Macaca mulatta: one gene and its partners. The protein of the gene in region 3 purifies or fractionates together with the protein of the main gene of each other region. This does not show direct contact. Links are inferred from orthologs where the notes say so. Each region holds a gene or a part of one and is shown on either strand. Other genes may lie near its edges.

The links.
Region 1: the proteins of PRKAR2B (region 3) and myomegalin purify together in Homo sapiens (affinity purification with mass spectrometry; 4 studies listed by BioGRID and IntAct, counting the BioPlex papers as one, with this or other methods). This does not show direct contact. The link is inferred for Macaca mulatta from reciprocal best matches to the Homo sapiens genes PRKAR2B and PDE4DIP.
Region 2: the proteins of PRKAR2B (region 3) and PRKACB purify together in Homo sapiens (affinity purification with mass spectrometry; 7 studies listed by BioGRID and IntAct, counting the BioPlex papers as one, with this or other methods). This does not show direct contact. The link is inferred for Macaca mulatta from reciprocal best matches to the Homo sapiens genes PRKAR2B and PRKACB.
Region 4: the proteins of PRKAR2B (region 3) and CDK5RAP2 purify together in Homo sapiens (affinity purification with mass spectrometry; 3 studies listed by BioGRID and IntAct, counting the BioPlex papers as one, with this or other methods). This does not show direct contact. The link is inferred for Macaca mulatta from reciprocal best matches to the Homo sapiens genes PRKAR2B and CDK5RAP2.
Region 5: the proteins of PRKAR2B (region 3) and AKAP11 purify together in Homo sapiens (affinity purification with mass spectrometry; 3 studies listed by BioGRID and IntAct, counting the BioPlex papers as one, with this or other methods). This does not show direct contact. The link is inferred for Macaca mulatta from reciprocal best matches to the Homo sapiens genes PRKAR2B and AKAP11.
Region 6: the proteins of PRKAR2B (region 3) and AKAP9 purify together in Homo sapiens (affinity purification with mass spectrometry; 3 studies listed by BioGRID and IntAct, counting the BioPlex papers as one, with this or other methods). This does not show direct contact. The link is inferred for Macaca mulatta from reciprocal best matches to the Homo sapiens genes PRKAR2B and AKAP9.

What each region holds. Positions count from the first base shown.
Region 1 is NC_133406.1:119,875,563-119,879,062, forward strand, and holds part of myomegalin, read right to left. Parts: intron 3,141-3,500; coding exon 2,914-3,140; intron 610-2,913; coding exon 466-609; intron 1-465. UniProt on the Homo sapiens protein: Functions as an anchor sequestering components of the cAMP-dependent pathway to Golgi and/or centrosomes.
Region 2 is NC_133406.1:156,488,184-156,492,262, forward strand, and holds the start of PRKACB (cAMP-dependent protein kinase catalytic subunit beta), read right to left. Parts: upstream 2,801-4,079; 5' UTR 2,575-2,800; coding exon 2,529-2,574; intron 1-2,528. UniProt on the Homo sapiens protein: Mediates cAMP-dependent signaling triggered by receptor binding to GPCRs.
Region 3 is NC_133408.1:146,657,339-146,661,468, reverse strand, and holds the start of PRKAR2B (cAMP-dependent protein kinase type II-beta regulatory subunit), read right to left. Parts: upstream 2,801-4,130; 5' UTR 2,598-2,800; coding exon 2,282-2,597; intron 1-2,281. UniProt on the Homo sapiens protein: Regulatory subunit of the cAMP-dependent protein kinases involved in cAMP signaling in cells. Type II regulatory chains mediate membrane association by binding to anchoring proteins, including the MAP2 kinase.
Region 4 is NC_133420.1:37,795,285-37,798,784, reverse strand, and holds part of CDK5RAP2 (CDK5 regulatory subunit-associated protein 2), read right to left. Parts: intron 3,010-3,500; coding exon 2,888-3,009; intron 1,769-2,887; coding exon 1,532-1,768; intron 1-1,531. UniProt on the Homo sapiens protein: Potential regulator of CDK5 activity via its interaction with CDK5R1. Negative regulator of centriole disengagement (licensing) which maintains centriole engagement and cohesion. Involved in regulation of mitotic spindle orientation.
Region 5 is NC_133422.1:21,627,491-21,631,716, reverse strand, and holds the start of AKAP11 (A-kinase anchor protein 11), read right to left. Parts: upstream 2,801-4,226; 5' UTR 2,530-2,800; intron 2,284-2,529; exon of another isoform or gene 2,077-2,283; intron 1-2,076. UniProt on the Homo sapiens protein: Binds to type II regulatory subunits of protein kinase A and anchors/targets them.
Region 6 is NC_133408.1:127,276,416-127,279,915, forward strand, and holds part of AKAP9 (A-kinase anchor protein 9), read right to left. Parts: intron 2,651-3,500; coding exon 2,500-2,650; intron 1,397-2,499; coding exon 728-1,396; intron 500-727; coding exon 291-499; intron 1-290. UniProt on the Homo sapiens protein: Scaffolding protein that assembles several protein kinases and phosphatases on the centrosome and Golgi apparatus. Required to maintain the integrity of the Golgi apparatus. Required for microtubule nucleation at the cis-side of the Golgi apparatus.

The DNA of each region.
Region 1 (3,500 bases), on a different chromosome or scaffold from region 3:
ATGCCAGCTGAAGTGATATGCTGGAATTCCAGGCAGCGGCTGAAAAGGCTCAGTCTCATGGGGGCATTCTGTGATCATGTGACCGTGGGACCTGAGGGGTGGGAGGTGGGTGCTGAAGCTTTAACTGAATTTCAGCTCAGCCAAACTTCAGAGAGGTAAAGAAACTGAACCTTTATGGATTGCCAGGGTTATGATGTCTCCGCCTTCTCCACACCCCTTCCTCTTCTTGATTTTTTATCCAGGGGCCAGGGGGTTGGTGGGGAATGGGATGTATTTACAGCTGCAATGAAAGCAGCCACCATGGGTCAGAGATGTCCCTCCAGGGACACTCCTCTAAGGTCCTGTCTATCCCAATTCACTATGTGGCTCCCGATTTTCTTGAAAAGCTGTGACACTGAAGAGACAGAACAGTATTGGAGGGCAGGAAAACTGGGTTCAAACCAAGAAAGGACACTGGCATCTTACCACTTTGCCAGGCAGCACAGGGATGTGGGTGCTTGGCAGGGCCGCTCTCCAGAACACGGTGAGGAGGGAAGCCGACTCCTCTAGGGCATGGTGCAGGGCAGTGGTGCTGCTCCGAAGCTCATGTATGCCTTTGCTGCCCATCACCTGGGGAAAGGTAACACCACAGAAGCGGAGAGATTACTTTCTTCCCCCTGCATGGGCTCCCGCTTCCTTTGTGAGTGAGGCACAGAACATGGGCCTGCTTGAACTGTGAAGCCCTCGCACAACCATTTGCAGCTCTCAGAACTAAGGTGCTGGTCCCTTTACCAGGTATGCCTCCCTCCACCTGCAGAACCCACAAGGCTTTCAAAACTCACCCCCCTTGCTGTGTCCTCTATGAACCTGTTACCTTCCTTGCCTGAGATAAATGACCACGTTTGCATTGGCGGCCTCACAGCACAGAGGATGGCTTCTCATGCTGTGTCTGTAGCCCCTTACTGTGCTGATCTACTTGTGTGTGTGTCTTGCCCTCTAGTGTGGGGTTCCGTGGAGGCAGGGCTGTCCCTACGCATCCATGGGTCTCCAGCAGCTCAGACAGCACAGCCCTGGTGCCTGGTCTCTCTCACTGGCAAGGCGCTCTGAGAAGCTTTGCTGACTGCCTTCCCTCCCTCTATGCAGTCTGCACAAGGAAATGCCATGGCTGCCAGGCTTCTCACCCCTTCCACATGTGGGGGCCATACACCTGCAAATCCTTCAGTTTCTGTCCACCCCATTGTGTCAACTCTGCCCACAGATGGTCATGTGCCTGCATAAAGCAATGGTAACAAAAGCCAAAATTGACAAATGGGATCTAATTAAACTCAAGAGCTTCTGCACAGCAAAGGAAACCACCATCAGAGTGAACAGGCAAACTACAGAATGGGAGAAAATCTTTGCAATCTACTCATCTGACAAAGGGCTAATATCCAGAACCTACAAAGAACTCAAATTTACAAGAAAAAAACAAACAACCCCATCAAAAAGTGGGCAAAGGATATGAACAGACACTTCTCAAAAGAAGACATTTATGCAGCCAACAGACACGTGAAAAAATGCCCATCATCACTGGCCATCAGAGAAATGCAAATCAAAACCACAATGAGATACCATCTCACAGCAGTTAGAATGGCGATCATTAAAAAGTCAGGAAACAACAGGTGCTGGAGAGGATGTGGAGAAATAGGAACACTTTTACACTGTTGGTGGGACTGTAAAATAGTTCAACCATTATGGAAAACAGTGTGGCGATTCCTCAAGGATCTAGAACTAGAAATACCATTTGACCCAGCCATCCCATTACTGGGGATATACCCAAAGGATTATAAATCATGCTGCTATAAACACACATGCACATGTATGTTTATTGTGGCACTATTCACAATAGCAAAGACTTGGAATCAACCCAAATGTCCATCAGTGACAGACTGGATTAAGAAAATGTGGCACATGGCCGGGCGCGGTGGCTCAAGCCTGTAATCCCAGCACTTTGGGAGGCCGAGACGGGCGGATCACTAGGTCAGGAGATTGAGACCATCCTGGCTAACACGGCGAAACCCCGTCTCTACTAAAAACACAAAAAATTAGCCGGGCGAGGTGGCGGCGCCTGTGGTCCCAGCTACTCGGGAGGCTGAGGCAGGAGAATGGCGGGAACCCGGGAGGCGGAGCTTGCAGTGAGCTGAGATCTGGCCACTGCACTCCAGCCTGGGTGACAGAGCGAGACTCCGTCTCAAAAAAAAAAAAAAAAAAAAAAAAAGAAAATGTGGCACATATACACCATGGAACACTATGCAGCCATAAAAAAGGATGAGTTCGTGTCCTTTGAAGAGACATGGATGCAGCTGGAAACCATCATTCTCAGCAAACTATCTCAAGAACAGAAAACCAAACACTGCATGTTCTCACTCATAGGTGGGAACTTGACAATGAGATCACTTGGACACAGGAAGGGGAACATCACACACCAGGTCCTATTGTGGGGAGGGGGCAGAGGAGAGGGATAGCATTAGGAGATATACCTAATGTAAATGACGAGTTAATGGGTGCAGCACACCAACATGGCACATGTATACATATGTAACAAACCTGCACATTGTGCATATGTACCCTAGAACCTAAGGTATAATAATAAAAACAAGAAAAGAGGAAAAAAAAAAAAGCTCCCAAAGGCTGCTAGGCAATGCCACATGTTTCTGTGGGGCTGAGGGGAAATATCCAGTCAGCTACATCTGGAACAGAGCAGAACTGACAGTGAAAATAGGAGACAGAGAAGACAGGGCCTGGCTGCTGTACATGGAAGAGGAAGCCTCAGCTGTTGAGAGATGCAAAGCACGAAAAACAAAAACAAAAACAAAAATGGTGGGAGAAGGAGTTACCATCAAAGGAAGAAAGGGCACAAGGAAACAGTGCATCTAAAGCTACAGGTGTGATTACCTCTGTGCCTTGGGCTTCAAGGCCAGGGAAGCTGCACGCTGACCTCACAAGAGACACTATCTTTTTGGCCAGCAGCTTGCCCTCCACAATCTGCTGTCTCAGGGCACTGTAGTCATCAATGTGGCCAATGACATGGCGGCCATGCTTATTGGCAAAGGAGCCATCAGTAGCATCACCCTCCAGCTTGGGAGGGGTCTTCATTACTGGAGAAGTATCCAAACCCAAGCCTGGAAAAGAAAATAACAACACAACAGAATCCTCTGTTATTCATAATGATATCCTAGGTTTGCTCCAACTCAGAAGAGGTAGGAGACAAGAAAAGGAAGAGGCTGGGAACAAGAAAGGAAGCCTTGGAATGTACAAGGGTGGGGCAAAGACCATAGAGATCTTCTGGCTTCTATATTTTTGTAATTTTTCTTACATCATCTCTTAATGATAAATTTGCCAGGGGACAATTTTTTCTTATTGGCCAATGAAATAGGACAAATCATAATAAATAATAAGTTTCTGGGTAGAGAAGACACAGACAAGGAAATCAAGCTGGATACAGAGAACATTTTCAAGAATGGAGAGATTATGGTGCAATG
Region 2 (4,079 bases), on a different chromosome or scaffold from region 3:
ATTATTCAGTGATGCTGAATGGAGTGCAGGCATCAGACTCTATTCCTTACTCGGTTATTACTAACAGTATGATCTCAACTCCAGCTTCTTCAGAGATCAGGATCTTTGAAAAGGAATGATTGTACAGGCTGATCTGTAACATCATATATTTCTAAAAGTTTTGAAAAACAAATTTTCAAGAATAATTCTTTAAAAAAATACACAGAACAGTTAGGTATGTAATGATAAGAGTTCTTTCATTAAGTTTAAAATACAATTTCTTTGTTTACTACAGAACGGCAACATATACCTGATAACATTGCTCCAAATGAAATTACAAACATTAATCAACACATGACATTTCAAATAATTTTCCCTATGACACATAACATGCTATTTTTTTTTTTTGGTCACTTCACAACAGCTTTTTAAACTATTATAATGACCTTGTTTCCATAAACAAAGTTACACAAAAAGCTGACTAATAAGTACTAGACTGTCATTAACACTTAAAACATAGGAAAGAATTTATTCATGGAAATAATTTAAATATGTTCAGATAAACATTTGAAGTTTCCATTCTGTTTTCAGTAAATATTCTGAGGTTATTTCACAGCTATGAGTTGCAAATTAATACTGTCTAAGGGAGAATTGTTTTGATAACTTAATAAAAAATATACAGGTCACAGGAGAGTCTACTATCATTATCCAAAATATAAACATTATACAGGTCAGCACTTGCTAATGAAAACTACTAATAGGATCATTCTCCAAACACTCTTTTGTAACACAATTAGCACGTTTTAAGTTAATACAGTTTTAAATTAACACGAAAAATGACAACATATAAGGTACAAATAATTCTTTATGCTTTTTGCATTTTTTATACTTCCTGTACAGTTAGTTACTATATTTCCGCAATTTTAAAAAGATAACAAAGGCCGGGCACGTTGGCTCACGCCTGTAATCCCAGCACTTTGGGAGGCCGAGGTGGGTGGATTACCTGAGGTCAGGAGTTCGAGACCAGCCTGGCCAACATGGTGAAACTCCATCTCTACTAAAAATACAAAAATTAGCCGGGTGTGGTGGTGGACGCCTGTAATCCCAGCTACTCGGGAGGCTGAGGCAGGAGAATCGCTTGAACCCAGGAAGCGGAGGTTGCAGTGAGCCAAGATTGCACTATTGCACTCCAGCCTGGGCAACAAGAACGAAACTCCATCTCAAAAATAAATAAATAAAATAACATACATTCTACCTCTACAATGGTTTCTTTAGATCTCTGTATGACATACTGTGTGTTCTTAAATAGTTTATATAATAGCTCATCAAACTTTTCTGGAGCTCCCAAAAATTGATACCAAAACCTTACTGATGAAACATAAACCATATAATCTGATCTATTTATGTTAAACCAAATGAATGACTAAATCCTTCTAAATGAATTCTACTTTACTAATACAGAAAAAAAAGCTATTTCCTTCATGCTAAATTATAAAATTAGCCTAATTCTTATGTTACAACCATGAAAACATTACAAGTAATATTTACACAAACTAAAATTATCAGGCCCACTTTAAGTGCTAACATGTCATTCACTACTGGTGATGTAACAAATATCATCTGTTATTCGGCCATTCTGAATTATAAAAATATATAAACTTTACAAAGGCAAACCCAAGTTTTATTTCACGACCATTCTGACTGACACATATATACACACATATATATGCATGTGTATACATGCATACACAAACACACAGACACACACACACACCTCACAGCCATACAGAAATTCCATTTTCATGATATTTTACTTTTTGATGTAAAGTGTGGAGTACCCGCACCTTCAGCTCTCAGAAGAAATTAACCGTGTTCTGGAAGCACTTCCACTCCGAATGACCTTTAAGTTTTACAGGCATTGCAGCAGATCCTAGAATGTCTAGAGAAAAGGCAAACCTGCCTGGCTTTTTTCTCTAATGGATAAAGTTGCTGTTTGGTCTCATTATGTTTTCCATTCCTAATCTGAAGAGATGAAGGATCTCTAAGGCAGAGTTGTTCACTCAGGATTAGCCTCACTTGCGTAGAGCCAGACTAGCAGCCCCCGCCTTGTGATAAGGTTGGGTTGGACCCAAGTGATGGAGGGAGAAGAGCCAACCTTACCCACAGCACCACTACCTGTAGCTCCCAAAGAGTCGGCGAGAGGGGAAAGCAGGGGTGGGATGGCACTGGGGACTTCTTTCCTCGGACCATATTTGGGGAAGTGTTCCAGAATGTGTGCAAGTCCTCCTCGCTAGAGTGAAAAAGGGAATCCCAGGGAACGCTCTTCCCAGGATCCCCACATCCGGCCCTTCGCACTCAGCCCTCAACACGGAGCTGGGGGGTCGGAATGGAGGAGGAAGGCAGCTGGTCCCCCGGCCCCCCAGAACGACTCCCGGCGGCCGCTACTAGGCCTGGCCCGTGCCCGCGGCCTCAGGAGCTGCGACCCGGAGGGGCCTCGGTGCCCCGCGCCGGCCCGCCCAGCGGATACCCAGACCCGGCCTTCAACTCACCGCTCTCCACCTCGCTGCCTTTCTTGGCGGTCGCCGCGTTGCCCATGTCTGGGGCGATGGCAAGAAGGGGTCAGGGAGGGGAAGGGGGGCTGGGGCCGTGCCCGCCACTCCACAGTCTGGGGCAACTCCCGCTTCTGCACCCGTCAAAGCGGTGAGTGCGCCTAGCGCTGGCGCCCGGAGTCCGGGCAGGGAGACCGGGCCGGGTCTGAGGAAAGGGTTCCAGCGAACTCCTCAGCACCGGTAGCTGCGGCTGCTGCGGCGGCGGCGGCGGCGGCGGCGGCGGCGGCGGCGGCAGCAGTAGCGGCGGCGGGCAGACACTCCCCCTTCGCGCGGCCCGCCCTCCCCGCGCGCCCCCGGGCAGCCGCGCTCCCGGGCTAGGCCCTGGCCCGACTGTGTCTTCGCGCGCGGGTGCGCGCGCCGGAAGTGACGTGGCCCGGGACCCCGGGGGCGGGCGGTGGACCCTTAGCTGGCCGAGCCCAGGGTTGGGGCCTGAGGTTCCGCTGACCGCCTCCTCCGCCGCGGTATCCCGGTCTAGCGCTCGGATGCCCATCGCTGAGATAGTGGGAGGTGGAGTGGGAACCGCTAGCTTTGCGGACGGCAGAGTCCCTCCTCAGCCTGGCGTTCCCAGTGCCCTGGAGTGGAGTCGCGGGATACCGTTCAGCGGCTCGGGTGGTTTTCCTTGTGTCCCGCCACGCGGCGGCTCCTCACTCAAAGACTGCCTTTTCCTCACAGCGCCAGGTCCGAAAAAGAGCCGCACCTTCGGGTTGGAGATCGCGCGCAAGGGTGGTCTCTGGGTCTGCATCTGCCCGGCATCGGCAGTAGGAAAAGCCTGGTCCCTAGTCACGGTCGTAGTTCGAGCCTTTCATTCCCTCGCACATTGAGGTATTCGCTGAGCCCACCGCGTTGTCCTCGGGGATAGTAGGCTCCAGTCACAAGCCCTATGTTTTCAGACTTCCCAGGTGGAGATAAAGGAAAATTTTACTATTTCTGCACAACTTCTGTTGATGTACAGCATTGTATTTAGCAACTTCCGTGTAGATCTGAAAATAAATACATTCCCAATTGTTAGTTGCGTTTTTATTAATATAAATCTTAGAATACTTGATTTTGCTGTTAGCTTTACTTAGGTAAATTATATGGCACTCTAGCATTTTTGTGGTTCCATTGAACTTTGCTCTGTGTTTTCCACTTATTACAAAGTCAAAATAGACTGTAACTTCCCAAATTATTCTATGTTCCCAAGGCACCAGGCATAGTAGGTGTTTTACGAATACCTGTTGACTTGAAATTTCTCAGGCTTTTAAAAAAATTTTCATTACTGACAAAAAATGGAGCGATAAGATTATTAGTAAACTTCCTATTATCACCAATTCTGTTAATGTATACTGCATTACAACTTCTATACGAATAGTAACTCATTTGCTCCTCATAAGAACCCTATGAGAGATGTGGTTTTACTGTCATCATTTTAGTTACGAGCAAATTAAGGCACAAAGAAGTGACTTACCGAGATTACACAGCTATTATCTGGTGGAAGCAGGATTTGAACCC
Region 3 (4,130 bases):
TGATATGCGGCTAATTTTCGACAATCCCAACCCTCACAACGCGTATGTGTTTTAAAAAAAAAAAAAAAAGTAATCAAGACCACATGTTGCCCAAAGCCTAAAACGTTTACTATCTGGCCCTTTACAAGAAAAGCTTGCCAACCACTTTGTAGCCTATAATTAAATGTTTTTCAACTGCAGGTCTCAACACAATTTAAAATAGGGAGAAATAATCAATTCAAATAGTAAATATCAAAAAGCACTGCATCTGACAGAAGGTAGTACCTGTACTATTGCCAAAGTTTCAATCAGACACATGTATGTGCCTCCTGGATAATGATCAAATTGTATTTGGTTGCAGTCTAAAAGTTTTAAAGGCCTTGGAGGTGAGGCTGGGGAGTAAATAGTGCAATTGTTTACAAGTTTAACTTGTTTAACTCACATTGAGCAATTTTTACAGCAAAGGTGCCTTGGAGAATATAAAGTCATATAAAGCCCTGCTGTTTTGAAGTTAACGGCTTGTTTCTTCACTACAAAATGAAAATGGAATCTCTTCTGTGCACAATATATTGTTATAAGGAGAAAATGGAATCATCAATGCAAAGTACTTCAACAAATGCATTATACAAACAAAAGATTTTGATTATATTAACAACATATTATACAGAATACATATAAGGTCTTTACCAAGCCCCTGAGTTCCTAGTTTTCTCCAACCTGGGAAAAGAGTCCTTTTTTCCCCCTTTGTGTGTGTGCATGAACATGTGTGCATGCGTCAGGAGCATAAAAGAAGTATTAGATATCTCTGCCCTTTCTATCATCCGTTACTGGCTGCTGCTTCTTACCTATTTAAAACATGCATTCTTCTCTCTTTCTCTTGTTTCTAGAAGGAAAAGCGTTTGATTTGATTCTTGTGCAAAAAGAACTACTAAGACTATGATTATCCTCTTGAGGAAACATTTAAAAGTCCAAAATTAAAATTGTAAGTAACAAGCTTCACTTTTATCTTCATAAAGCACTAATTTCCAGGCTTTCTGGGATTGTTTTGGACAAACTAAAAATACATTAATTTTATAATCCATTTCAACATGTAATCGTGCAAAGAAAAGAAACATCTTCCTAGGAGCATACACAAGGAAATGAAATGACACTTCTAAATGTTTTCATTTTATGAAATACACTGCGGACACACAAACCACAAGCAGTGTAAATAAATAAAAGCTGGTGCAATGCTGCATGCATGTTTGCCTTATATCACAAAGAGAAAACACTTGCACATTGCACTCCATGGTATTTTAGCTTGGGTTGCCATAAAAATGGGATTTGGGTATGTTGTGTAATACAGGGGGCTGTAAATGAGGGTGTGTGTCTGGGTGTGTTAGGGAAAGAGGGTTGTAAGCAGAAGGGGTGGGACTTGCCAGGAGCAGCTATTTGAGAAAATTCCGTTTTCTTTCCCATTCATTCTTCTAGCTCAGTCTATTCTAGCTCAGTCTGGCACAGTCCTTACAATTACTCACTGGCTTTTCATTCTAAAGACAACCAACAAGCTTTCAGAACTTCCTACAGTGTTTTTCTCATACACTTAAAAAAAATAAAACAGCAAATCATTCAATATGTCTTTTATACAAAAAGCAAACCATTAACCCGTTTCCTCATTCCAAAGACCCCCGTGGGTTTCAGACTAAATAGAATCCTTTGTTACGTGTCCAAAAATAACACAACACGGCATTGGTAAATTGGAAAATAACAGATAACTCTTATTTCCAAGAATGTCAGAGCTATTGGCCATAAATTTTGTTCTGCCCCAGTGAGTCCAATTTCATGCTTCTTTTAGTGAATCTACCATCCTAACAACAGTAAAGACAATCATATTAAACATCGTTCGCCTTTTCTCTTTTGACATTCGTTTAATAAATACAAAGGCTGAAAGAAGACGCCAAGTGGGCCAGTTTCTTTATGCACAATGGTATCCTCCAAGCGAAATACCTCCAATCACAGCGAAAGTTGTCTTTCTAGCAGATGCCCACCCCAACCAGCCCAGGCAGAGGGGGCAGACGGGCAGAGGGAAGCGTAACCTCCCAGCTCTCCCACCTCCAGAGGAAGGGAAGAGGGTATGACAGAGAGCGGAGTAGGAAGGTGGGCGAGTGGGAGAGACAGAAATGGATGCTGAGGGGGTGGGCGAGATGGGAAGGTAGGGAAAGGTGGAGAATGCGGGGAGAGGTGGGCGCGCAAAGCGGCAAGATCCGAGAGCCGTGGCAGCAAGGGGATCCCGGGGCGCGAGGGCGGGGGGTCTGGTCCTCACCATTGAACGCCCCTGCGTCTGCGGGCGCCGCCTCCTCCTCCTCTCCGTCCTCGGAGTCGGAGTGCATGGGTTCCTCGGCGAAGTTGACCCCCTTGCTGGGGGTGCCACCCCCGACAGCGGCGGCAGAGGCGCCCGCGTCCCCCCAGGTCCTGCCCTCATGGCCGAAGCGCGCGGTGCCTTTGCGCTCGTTCTCCTGCTGCAGGCGCGTGAAGTGCTGCAGCGCGAACTCCAGCAGGTCCGCGGGCTGGTGCCTCAGCACCTCCACGGTGAAGCCCTGCAGCAGCTCCGTCAGTCCCGCCGGGATCTCGATGCTCATCCTGACTCTGGGGCGGCAGGCGCCTGGGCGCCGCCCTCGCCCCCTCCCCGGCACGGCCTAGGGCCCCGCGGCTGCCGAGCGAGCGCCGACGGCGCTGGCGGCGCTACCGGCTGCGAGCGCGGCGCACTGGGCCCCGGCGGCCCGGCTGGCCCGGCCCGCGGCTCCTGGCGCGCGTCTGCTCCGTGTGGCGGCGGCGGCTGAGCGAGCGCGGCCCCGGGAGGGCTGGCAGCATCTCCTGCTCCTCCCGCTCCCGCCGCGGCCGCGCCTCTCCCTCGCCCGGGCGCCCCGCCCCCGCCCCGCCGCGGTGCGCGGGAGGGGGCGCAGGAGAGCGCGCCCACGTGACCCTCGGAAACCATGGCAACCTCCGCCGGCTGGCGCCGCTCACCAGCCGCTCAGAGCACGGCAGGGTGGAATTCGTTGGCGGGCTGCGCGCCCGGGCTGGGTGAGGCGGAGGGAGGCCCAGCGAGGCCGTCTTGGTGTCCACCTGTCCGCGCGTCCAGGAGCGGGCTGGCCACTCGCCCAGCTTCCCACGCGTCATTCGCCATGGTGAACCCCCGCAGAGGTGGTGCCAAGCGATTTGTCCTGAAACTTCAGCCTCCACCTTAGTAGTGGCATTTTATTTTCCTTCTGGAATCTACTTGCATGATAAGTGTTGTTAATGTCCTTTGTTTAAAGTCTTATGGTGGTACTGTTTCTCTTTTGGACAAAGAAATGCTACCCCATCTTTGTGACGTCTTTCTTTTTCTTCCACCACGTTTTATCTAGCCTTTCCCCATCCATCCTGTTTATTATGTTTTATCTTACTGATGCTATTCCGTTGTGCACTCCACGCATTTACTATTTGTTGAGACAAAGGCGCCATTTATTGTGAGGCACCTATCAAAGTTAGTTGATCTCCTTCAAATAGGATAGTGCAAGATGAGGCGCTTATTATTTTGAAACTTTTCTTTATGCTTTGAGTGATTTTGACTTGTATCTCCAAAAATGGAAATACTTCAGTATAAAGAAAAATAGAATTACGAATGTGTGCTTTTAAAGTAGATGGCTTTGACTTTGATATGAGGCTTACTTTGCAAATGTTTACAATTTTGAAGTAGAGAAAATTGTCTTTTGTCAATTAAATGCTATTTAAATACGCATACTTCATTTTCTACAATTACCATATCATTGTAAATAAAATAGTTCAAGAGCAAGCTCACTTGGTTATTCTGATTTATCTTCCCACCCACGGAAGAGTAAACACATGACTGGGGAAACTCCAAGACTAGAAATCAGAGATGTAACAAACTAGTCCCTTTTGTAAAAATGGATCTTGATGTTAACCCTTTGTTAATGATGCATCCTGTATTCACTCTATGAGCCAATGTATTTCTCTGTTTTCATTTCTTAAGAACTTTATGGTAATAATGCTACGTTGTTTTTAAATATACAGTAGTTAAGTGCTTCTGATTGTGTCAAGCATTTTAAGAATTAAACTTTTGGCCAGGCGCGGTGGCTCACGCCTGTAATCCCAACACTTTGGGAGGCCGAGGC
Region 4 (3,500 bases), on a different chromosome or scaffold from region 3:
TCTCCTTGCTTCAATCTCCCCTAGCCCACCCCCACAAGCTCCTCAAAGCCTTAAAAAGGGCCAGGTGCAGACCCATGTTAAAAATATTAATGCCCGATGCTGATGAGGTCACGCAAAAACCACTACCTTTGTACACTTCTGATGGACAGACCATTTAGAAGGTAGAAATATGGCACCTTTCTAAACTTCTGAGATTCCCCTGGTCGGGTTTTCTCCTAAGAATATTGTTTAACAGCAAAAAGTATATTAACATTGATGTCTATTATGGCTCTAAATCAGAGACCACTTTAATAATCAACGGGGTCATGGACTGGTGACTAAGAATAGCCTGCAAACAATCATTAGGAAGCCCATGTGAAAGCAGAGGGAACATGTATGATGCAATATTGGACAAAAACAAAGAAAGGACACAGAATGACACAAAAACCAATTTGAAAAATATAAATTCATGCCGATATTTAATAAATGAAAAGAAATATGCAAATTTTAAAAAATGATCAATGTGTAGAATCATCAACTTTTTTTCTCTGTTCACTTTTTTCATATTATTACATCATCTTTTTGGTTAAATTTTAAGATCCTTGTCAATGAGAAATCAATGAACTAATCACTACAAGTTCTAAGGCAGACTGACTAGGTACTCCTTAAGAGATTTATTTTTATTTTTTTAACTAGAGGTATCCAAGTAAAAGTAAGTGCAAACTTTAGTACAATACTGCTTTTAAAGCATGCTGGCATTCCTCATCCCACTGGATACACATATTTACCCCATGGGTGTCAGGAAGATAATCCCAGGATACCCAAGGCTCCAGAGGGTCCAGTGGGTTTAGGAACAGCCCTAGAGTCAAAGCTGGAAATGGTTTCTAGTTCCAGCTCTGCTGCCTAATTGCTATGCCACTTTGGGCAAGCCCCATCCACTCTCTGGGCCTTTGTTTTTCATCTCTAGAGCAAAGAGGACAGGCTGCCTGACTGATTGGAGTCTAACCATTTACTGGTTTGCTCCACACCCCGTGGTGGGCAGGTGGCAGAGGTGTCTGCTCCTCTTTCTGGTACCCCCCCACAGCCTCTCTCCAGGGCTAGGCAATTAACCTGCAAGCAAATGCAAAACAGATCCACTTTTTAAACCTATCAGGATGATTTTCAGATCCTGAAAGACACTGAAAGCCAGATTAAGATGTTTGGGTTCCCTTCTAAAGGCAGTAAGAGAAACTAAAAGAAATTTCAGCATGGAAGTGATGCAGGCAGGAATAAATGGATAGGAGGGAGCAAGGCCAGAGGCATTGAGGGTGTCTGGAAGTCCAAATTCCACTTCCCTGAGAATCAAGATGCCTCAGATGGAGATTACGCCACTTTGCCAAAGGTGACGTCTAATTAATTAGCAGTCAGGTCCCCTGGCTCCCAGGGTACAGCGTGTCAGCTATCAACGGAAAGACACCTGTGTGGGGCAAAGGCATCATTCAGAAGTTCACACGTCACACACAGATGCTCAGAGCTGCATTCTCAGCCAAGTGGGGAGAGGCAGGGGCAGTACCGTGTTTGTCAGGCTGAAGGGGCACCTCAGGGATGGACAGGGCTTGGATGGCCAGAGTGAGGGCTCCTTCCTGTGCCTTCTCTGCCCCCCTTGCCAGCTGTTCCTCGAGGCTACTCTGCAGAGTGCTGCTGGTTTCAATGCTCCTTTCCAGTTGCAACCGCAGAGCCTGGATCTCCATCAGGAGGCTGTGCAGGTCCCTGAAAGGATCCTGCCCCTTCCAGCCTTCTCCCGACGCCTCTGCAGACATGTGCAAAGAGAAGCCCTGACATCTTCTACAACCAAAGGGTCAGCCATTGAAGGAACTCAATCGCGTTTTACACCCGCCACCACCATCGCCCTCCCTCTTCCTAAGAACTAGGTACAGTTTAAAATAACAACTTGACTTTAGAAACAAAAATATTGGCAGACTTAATTGCTGCTATTCCACAGGCTAAATAAGAGCTGGAAATTAATTTTCGCTTCTGGCCATAAAAGCCTAGCAAATTGCATACCAAACCCCGAAATTATGTCTAGTAGTAATAAAATCTATTTGGGCTAGAATTATAGAATGAAAGGGGATGATTTTAAGAGCCACAGTATATTAAAAAGACACAACAGCAAGAATAAGAAAAGCAAGTTGAGAAGAAAATAAAAGCTGTGAGATGACCCCTTTCTAGATCAACTTTCAATAGAGAGAAACCATCTGGAAAATTAGTTAAAAAAACAAAAAAACAAAAAAACACCTCACCACACCTCAAAATTGATTCTGAAACATTAGACCTTATAGTTGAAGCACTCTGAGCTGGTATCTCTCTTGGGATACAGAGAGCACTGAGGCCAACAACTATCCCCAGAGCAATGCCCAGCACATGAGAGGTGTCCATAAATGTTTGCTGAATTAATGGGCAAAAAGTAACACACACTAGCAGGACGATAATAAAAGTCATTTCCCGAGTGCTTACTATGTGTCAGGTATCATGCTAGGATGCTTTTAATAAATGGTCTCATTCAATTTTCAACACAATTCTCCACACAACAGGTGCTGAGAGACATGTTTTACAGAGGCATGTATGGGCTGGGCTCAAAGGGTGAAGTGGCCTGCTGAGGGTCAAATAGCTGGGAACAAGGGAGTGGGAACCCGGACCGTGGCTGGCCTGGGTGCTGAGCCTCAGTCCTTCTATGTTTCCTGCTGTTCCTTCAAAAGAAGAGTGGGTCAAAGCGCTAGCTTCAACACCCATCCATTCTACCCACGAGGCCAGAGAGGAGAGGGCTGAGCTCTACCCTCCTGCGCCTACAGCCGGCGGTCGGGTGGGCTTACAGCCCAAAGCACAGTAGCCTCAAGGTGAGAAGGGCCTCGGACCAGAGCCCCCCCGGTACCTCTCAGTCTCCTGTGCTCTTCATCCAGCTTCTCATACGCCTTCAGCTCCACTCGGAGGGACTGCAATAGCTTGTCATTCTGTGAGAGCAGCTGCTGCCTCAACTTCACCTCCTCCTGCACCCTAAGAAGGCCCCACAGGCATGAGAAGCACAGGTTAGTTCTACCATAGGGTAACTTATTCGAACCCCACAGAGCAGGCCAATTCCACTCTCAGTCACAAGAGTGTGGACCAAGCAGTGACAAGCCTGGTTAAGAATTCCAGTCACAGCTGCAATTTCCAAGTGCTCCCCGTGTCCAGCCCCGTACATACGTGATCTCATGTAATCTTCACAGATGCCCTAAACGGTTGGTGCTCTCTAACCCTCAGTTCAGAGATATGAGGAAACGAAACTCAAAAGGGCTGTTTCCTACCCAGGCATGCACAGCTCGGGAGGGGAGCCAGACTTAGACCCAGGACTACTTGGCAGCAAAGACGAAGATCTTGCTACCTCACTGCACCACCCTTGGTGATGACGGTAACTGAAAGAGTGGGGCATTCACGCGTGCCGACAGGAACAACTGAAATGTGGAACCAGACAGACTCAAAGAGGGAAATGGCAAAAGGACCATTGG
Region 5 (4,226 bases), on a different chromosome or scaffold from region 3:
CAGTCTGTTTTTAAACTGATAAAGCATTTTTCTTTCTCTTACCCATATTACCAGCTTATTGACCCTTAACTCACACCCAGGCTTAACCTAGATCTTCTCTTGACCAGTTCTCACTCTTCAATCCTTCCAGGTAGTTGATTAATAAAATGCAGACAAGACAGGAAAAAAAAAAAAAAATCAGTTACCCTATCCAAAGTTACTTCAATTACTTTTGAAAAACCAAACACCACACACCCTACAAGTTTGAAACCCTTGCCAAAAGGTGATGAAGACCAGCCAAAAAATTTATTTTTCTATTTCTGAAAATTAGTTTGCTAAGATGGAGTGAGAAGAAATTTTTTTCTAATCAACACTGGTCTCCTCTGCCCATTCACAAAGATATATTTTCTACGTTACATTTTTGTCAAGTATAGAGAGAATTCCTCTACCTATTTATAACTGACAATTTCTCTTAAAACGGTCTTTAATATGTTGTCCAAATTGGTTTGAGTTCCTTTTCCAGACAGTAAGTTCCTAAAATTAAAAAATAAAAAAAATTAAAAGTACTATATTTTTTCCGGCCTCTAAAGGCAAAAGAGGACTTCTTCAGCTTCTAGACTTATCCCTGGAGTTCAGGGGGCTAGAGAAGGCTAGAGACTTTCTCACTATGGTTCCATGTCTTAGGCAACTTCCCATATCCTCAACTGCAAAATATCACTGGCCTAGGAGTCCACTGCTAGACCCATATCAATCTCGTCGATAGTGCAGTTATGTGGGTACATACACTAGTCCCTAGTTCAGCTTGGGAACCCACTTCTTCCCTGATTCCCTTACGTTCTTTGACCTTTCATAAATTACTATTACAGCTACAATTAATAGTGACATTCACTGTTCACCCCGGGTCAGTTTTGTCAGGAGGAACAACAACAACAAAAAAAATGAATAATCAGGGTACCATTTGAAAAAGTAAACGTTTAAAAAAAATCATTCAGTTGCACTATTTTAACTGACACCAATCATGTCAGGCACTGGGCTGCCATCCTAAAATCATGACGTTAAAAAAAATTATCTTTGCATTACTGATACCCCATTTTTTCTTAGCACTCCATATTTTGAGTATTTTCAGACATAACGAAATCACAATCAACATGACATTTCTAAAACAGTGGGAAGCAGCTAAGCAAAACGAGCATTTTGCAAGCGATTGAAAAGCTGAAAAGAGAGCAGGAATTAACTCCAGTTTGTACTAAAGCTATTAGATGTGTGTCTCAGCAGTCTCTCTCACCATGAAACTCCTTAACATCTAAAGCTAAACCACAACCAACTTTATATGGTTTTAGAAGACAGAGAAAGCAGAGAAAAAAATGAAAGCTGGTAATACGGGGAAGAGAAAAAATGTTAGCTTTTACTGTCATTGTCATTTACTTTTTTTTTAATACTTCGGTTACATCTACATATTTTTTATAAAGCAGCTTAGATGCCTGGATTAATAGCAGTATACTAAATCCATTCGGAGTACTTTATGGCCAGCCTTAAGCCATTAACAGCCTAGGAGGGTATTTGACAGCAAATGCAAATATCAATACTACGAAGAGCCCCTTGACGCCTTCCGTTTCTGTCATAAGATCTGAGCAGCGCCTGCTTCCAGGGCTCCGGGGTTCTGACAGTGAAGGATGCTGTTCGCGGACAAAGTGCAACGTCCTCCTTCTGCTGCAAATGTTCCTGTGCGCACACCACGTACCCGGGGGACCGTCTCTAAAGACCACCCCGTGGATTTAAACAGCCTGTCATTAAAAGCGGCGGCAGCTCCACCGCCACACTCGGGACCCCAGGAAGACCCGTCTCGAGACCGAGCACCTCCCTCTACTCTGGGCCCGGTGCCTTGGGTTTCCTCCCTCGGCCGCGCTCCTCCCGCCCTCCTCCCTCCGCCATGCGAAGGCGCAGCTCTCGGGCGGCCCCGAAGACAGAAGAGGGACCACGGGCCGGCGGAGGGGCTGGGGCGCCGGAGCCGGGCCGCTCCATCCATGCCGGCCGCATACCTGCCGCCACCCCATCTAACCGCAGCCTCCGCGGCAAACGCGTCGGAGCCCGGCTCACCTGGGGGCCGCAGCCTCCGCAGCTCATGGACATGTCACCGGCCGCAACGACCCGTGAGCGAGCCGGGCGAGCAGGCTGGCCCCCTCCCGCGTCGGCCCCCAGCCCTCCCCCCTCCCAGCCCCGCGGCCCGCCCCCGCCCTGCCCACCCCTCGGCTTCCGCCGCCGCCGCCGCCGCCGCAGCTCCGGCCCGCAACACCGCCTACTCTCCACGCCTCCCACTCACTCTCGCGAGAGGGCAGCGCGCCTCTCGCGAGAAGAACTCCGCAGCCGAGCCCGCGCAAAAGTGAGTGGGCGTTTAAAAAGGGAAAGAAGGAACAGGAAAAAAAGCCTTCCCACGTGCTCCGGAGCAGCTAGCGGAGCAGCCCCGCTGATCACATGATTTAAAGGGGGCCTCTCCATTGGCCGGGACCCGCTCAGCCTTGGGAGCTTTAAATTCGAGGGCGACCTACGAACCTGCGGCGGACGTCTTGCGTGCTTCCTGGTCCGTTGCCTTGGAAACGGCTTAACCCTTTCCTCTGGCAAGTCCCCAGGCCTTGGCTTGCTCCGCAGATTTGGTTTCAGGCTCTGCCTCTTTTCCGTCGACCCCTTAGTCTTACAGCCTGGGGCCAGCTGGGCTCCTTCTTCGCCACAAGGCTAGTTTTGCTTTCTTCCGAAGCCCCGGGCCCTTCCCTAAGTGGCAGCCCCACCAGATCCGAAGGCCCAAGGAAGGCTCATCCTTTCTGATGACTCCACCCCTTTTCCCAGCATCTCCAGGGAGGACCACTCACAGCGCACAGGGCAACCGGCCCTATCCCAGCCAAGAAGTAGCACCCAGGGTTCTCAGGGCCCTAGTGCTCACCCTGATGTCTTTACATGGTATGGAAATCGGAAACTAAAGCTTTGGTCACTGGGAATCCTAACCAGAGATGAAAAGCTGTTGTGCTGATTATTTTCACCTAAAATCCGAAGGGCCAGTATTGCCCTGTCTCCTTAAGGGCATCTGTTCCTCAAGAGTGGAAACACCTGGCAATAAAAAAGACATTTTTGAGTGTATCCTCATTATGAGTTAAGTTTTGCCCTGTTGAGAGGAGAGGGTCAGGGAAGAAAGGGTGCAATTCATTTGTTCATTTCTTCATTCAACAAACACTACTCCAGGCTTTGTCCATTGAACATCATTGTCCATTGAACAATGATGAAGATAAGTAGTGTAGATTCTAGGGAACTTATCTGAGGATGAAAAGAAAACAAAATATCTGTTGGTTTTAAAATGTATGTAAAGAAGTTACAATAAGTGACGTGATGGTGATTGAGTGGCTAGTAAAGGGGCTGCCCTTTTGAGGAGGAGACATTTTAGCAGCGATTTGAATAACAGTCATGCAAAAATCAGAGCGTACAGCATTCCAGGAAAAGGATAACACTAATTCAAAGGCCCTAAGTAAGGACCTGTTCTAGTGCATTTGAGGGAAGAATAAATGAGAAAGTAAACTTTATTGAGCCTGGAGATGGAAACTGTAAGAGTTAAAGAAACAGAAAAGGCAGCTTAACAGAGACAGGTTTATTTTGGAGAATAAACCTGAGAGGGTCTTCTGGCCAATTTCAGTCAGTAGTGTTCTCTCTTACAGACTAAAGGTATTTAGCGGTTGAGGGAGGGAGAGCATATTGCAGGCTTGGAATGTTTCTGGGTGGAGGAGGGTTTTATTGCTGGGGGTTTAATGTCTCTGGTTGGAGGGGAGGCATATTTCTGATCAGAGGGGGGTTTATCTCAGGGTTGGAATATTTCTCATCAGAGGTGTCATTTGTGGTTTATGGTCATGATGACATTAGGCTGATGTTTCTGGGGCTGGATTTAGGCAGTTTTTAATCAAGGGGAACTTAAAATGGTGGTGCTTGTCCAAGATGGAGATGTTCTTGCTGAGTCAGAAACTAGCATGGATCAGATCCTGTAAGGCTTTGTTAGCCAAGAAAGGAATTGAAAGTTTATTCTAAATGCAATAGAAGGTATTAGAAAGTTTTTAATAGGGGAGAGACACCCAGAGTTTACTTTAAAAAAAAAAAGTCTCTTCCTTGAAAATAATGGGTCTTAAAGAGGCCAAAGCAGAAGCAAAGATTAGGAGATTTATAGGCCAGGTGGGAGACAGTCATGAAATTTAATTTCCAATGATCTTAACATT
Region 6 (3,500 bases), about 19 Mb from region 3:
AAACATACCTTCTCAATTGGGGGTGTTTACTACCACAAACATTACAGAGCAGGTGACGTTCTACTTCACCTATCACTTCTCCCTTATATACTGTGCTCTCTTCCCTGGGTCAAAGTGTTAGATAGTTATTTTCAGACATTTGAGTTCTGTTAAAGAATATCACCTCCTAATGCAAACATGCATTACCTTTAAAATTTCAATTCCCCACCCTTGGCTAGCTGTCAAAGAGGCATGGGGTCTACCCAGCCTAAGAATGCTGCTTTCCCAAAGATCAGGCAGAAAAGTCTAACCTCTTAGAGGCTTTCTGGGCTAGAACCTGTAGTTTTGAAGCTACACATTGAAGCTTTTGTCTGCTCATTTCTAATTCATGATTACAGCCGGTTCCTCCTCCATTCATTTCAATCAATTTAGCGTAGTTTGATTCCTTTGTTTCTCCTTCTATTTTCTGTTGAAGAACCCAATTTCTAGTTCGATCACTGGTTAAGCTCCACGTGGCTGGCTGGCAATTTTGGACAGAATAAGAAAACAATAATTATAAGTGAAGAGCATATCACAGTCTATCTTAAGGGAACACAATTATTGTTTATATCCAACAAACGTCTATATATTTCATTTTTAGGTGATTTACAAACAGTTATTTAAGTAATTTAATCCAATATCAAAATTTAATGATCAAAGGGCTGCAGTACTTACCTTAAAAATATCTAAAAAGAAACTGTCAGTTTACCTCATTAAGGTTCTGATACAGAATTCTTCTACTTTCTCGTTTTTCTTCTCGTTCTAGTTCTTGCTTCTGGAATTCCTGCATGATTCCTTGTAGTCTCTGTCCTTCAAGGTCTAACTTATAAACTTGTTGTCTTTTCTCTTCCAGCTGGCGCTGAAGATCTTCCACTTTGGACTGGAGCTCATGCATTTTTTTCTGTCCCTCAGTGTTGGCCTCTTGTTCTGTCTGCAGTGTTTTCCTATGAACCTGCCTATCTTTTTCCATTTGCTGTCGTGTTTGCAAAGAATCCAGTTTATATTTTTCAGTCTCATTTAACAGTTCTACTATGCGACTGTGTTTTTCCTCTAGCTGTTTCTGCAGCTCTTTCAGTAGGTCCTCTGAGGGCAAGGATGGCCGAGACTGCCCAGTACCATCATTGCTCTGCAGCTGTGCGTGCAATTCCCGCTCCCTATCTAGGGTACTACTCATTTCCCGAATTCGAACTTTCTCAGATTCAAGAAGTACTTGAAGCTCTAAGTTTCGACCGTGTTCTTCTGACAACTGGGCATCATATAGCATTCTCTGTGATTCTATTTTTTGCTGGGATTCGTCCAGTAGTTGTTTCTGTTGTTCCAAAAGTAGATTTAGCTGAAGATTCCTTTGTTTCTGACTCTCAAGTGAAAACTTCAGATCCTGGTATGAGAAAGTCAAATTTAAGAATTTGTTAGTATTATTACAAATACTTGGCCAGGCATGGTGGCTCACGCCTGTAATCCCAGCACTTTGGGAGGCCGAGGAGGGCAGATCACCTGAGGTCAAGAGTTCAAGACCAGCCTGGCCAACATGGTGAAACCCTGTCTCTACGTCTCTACTAAAAATACAAAAAATTAACTGGGTGCAGTGGCACATGCCTGTAGTCCCAGCTACTTGGGAGGCTGAGGCAGGAGAATCGCTTGAACCTGGGAGGTGGAAGTTGCAGTGAGCCTAGATTATGCCACACTGCCCTCCAGGGTGGGCAACAGAGCGAGACTTTGACTCAAAAAAACAAAACAAAACAAAAAAAACCTTTATAAGTATACAACCATGCCTTTGTTAATACTATGCTGATAGTATCTGTATTAGAAAATAGAACTGATTTAGTTTATTAACTTAAATGTTCAGTAGTTAGTGCAAAATCATGAAATATAAACAAAAGAAGGGTAAAATACTTTTCTCAAAAAATCTTAACCTCACTAAGTAATGAAGCAGCATACATTTAAGTGGCTAGAAGAGCTCTGAGCCAATGAGACAACTCCATCTCTATTAAAAGTAGATACTGCATGTAGTAGTACAACCTGCCTTGAGCTGAGAGCCTTGCAAAGCAGGGGTGTGTCTCTCTGAAAGGGGCCAATGTTCACTTTAAATGTTCTTAAGCAGTGAGGGATCCAGAAAAGTATCCCTGTTCCTCTTCCCTAGGAGAAAACAGGAACCAAAACTACTTCTGTATTAAACTGACAGGATTGCCATGTTTATCTCTGTGTACCAATTCACATGACCAAAACATGTTGCAGAAGAGCAGTCTATATGCATCTTTGGATGTAGCAAAACAAACTAACAAACAAACCAATCACCATTCCATTAGCATTTCCTCATAATATTGTTTAGATAACATTATATAGTATTGAATGCCTAAGTGAACAACTTACCGCATCTTATTAAGAAGTCTAAGGTTGACATTTTAGATGGAGGAAAGTCTCAAGACTCTCTTCTATCATTCTGGATTTTCCAGAGACATTTAAAGACAAAGATAACAGTACCTCAAGTTCTTCTTTATCCCGTTCTTCACTGTGTCCCAACTTCGCTTTCTCTTTCTCCAAAGCCCATTGGAGCTCTCTTGATTTTTTCTGTTCACTTGCTAATGTGTCATTAAGCAAATGTACTTCATCTGTCTTATCTTTAACTTCCAACCTAAGTCAGAAAGACAAATGAACTTCCATAAAGCTATGTTGATGAAGCATATAATGAGAGAGAGAAAAACAGCTTCCACTGATAAGCTGAGGCATATAATATGCTAGCTAAGAGGAAAATATAAACTATTAAAGATTCTTGACTGGGGTTCATTTCAAATTAACTCTTTCTCTTTTTTTTGTTTTGTTTTGAGACTGAGTCTTGCTCCGTCGCCAGGATGGAGTGCAGTAGTGTCATCTTGGCTCACTGCAACCTCCACCTCCCGGGTTAAACCAATTTTCCTCCCTCAGCCTCCCAAGTAGCTGGGACTACAGGCGCACACCACCATGCCCAACTAATTTTTGTATTTTCAGTAGAGATGGAGTTTCATCATGCTGGCCAGGATGGTCTCAATCTCTTGACCTCATGATCTGCCTGCCTGGGCCTCTCAAAGTGCTGGATTTACAGGCGTGAGCCACCGCGCCTGGTCCTGTTTTTTTTTTTTGAGACAGAGTTTCCCTCTTGTCACCCAGGATGGCGTGCAATGGCGCAATCTTGACTCACTGCAACCTCCGCCTCCTGGGTTCAAGTGGTCCTCCTTCCTCACCCTCCCAAGTAGCTGGGATTACAGATGTACGACAGCATACCCGGTTAATTTTTTGTATTTTTAGTAGAGACGGGGTTTCACTATGTTGGCCAGGCTGGTCTCAAATTCCTGACCTCAGGTGATCCACCCGCCTCGGCCTCCCAAAGTGCTGGGATTACAGGCATTAGTCACCACACCTGGCTTCAAATTAACTGTTTCTAGTACTACAATTATTAGTTATTAATTATCAATGCAAACAACTATGCAATTTATTGTTACAAAATA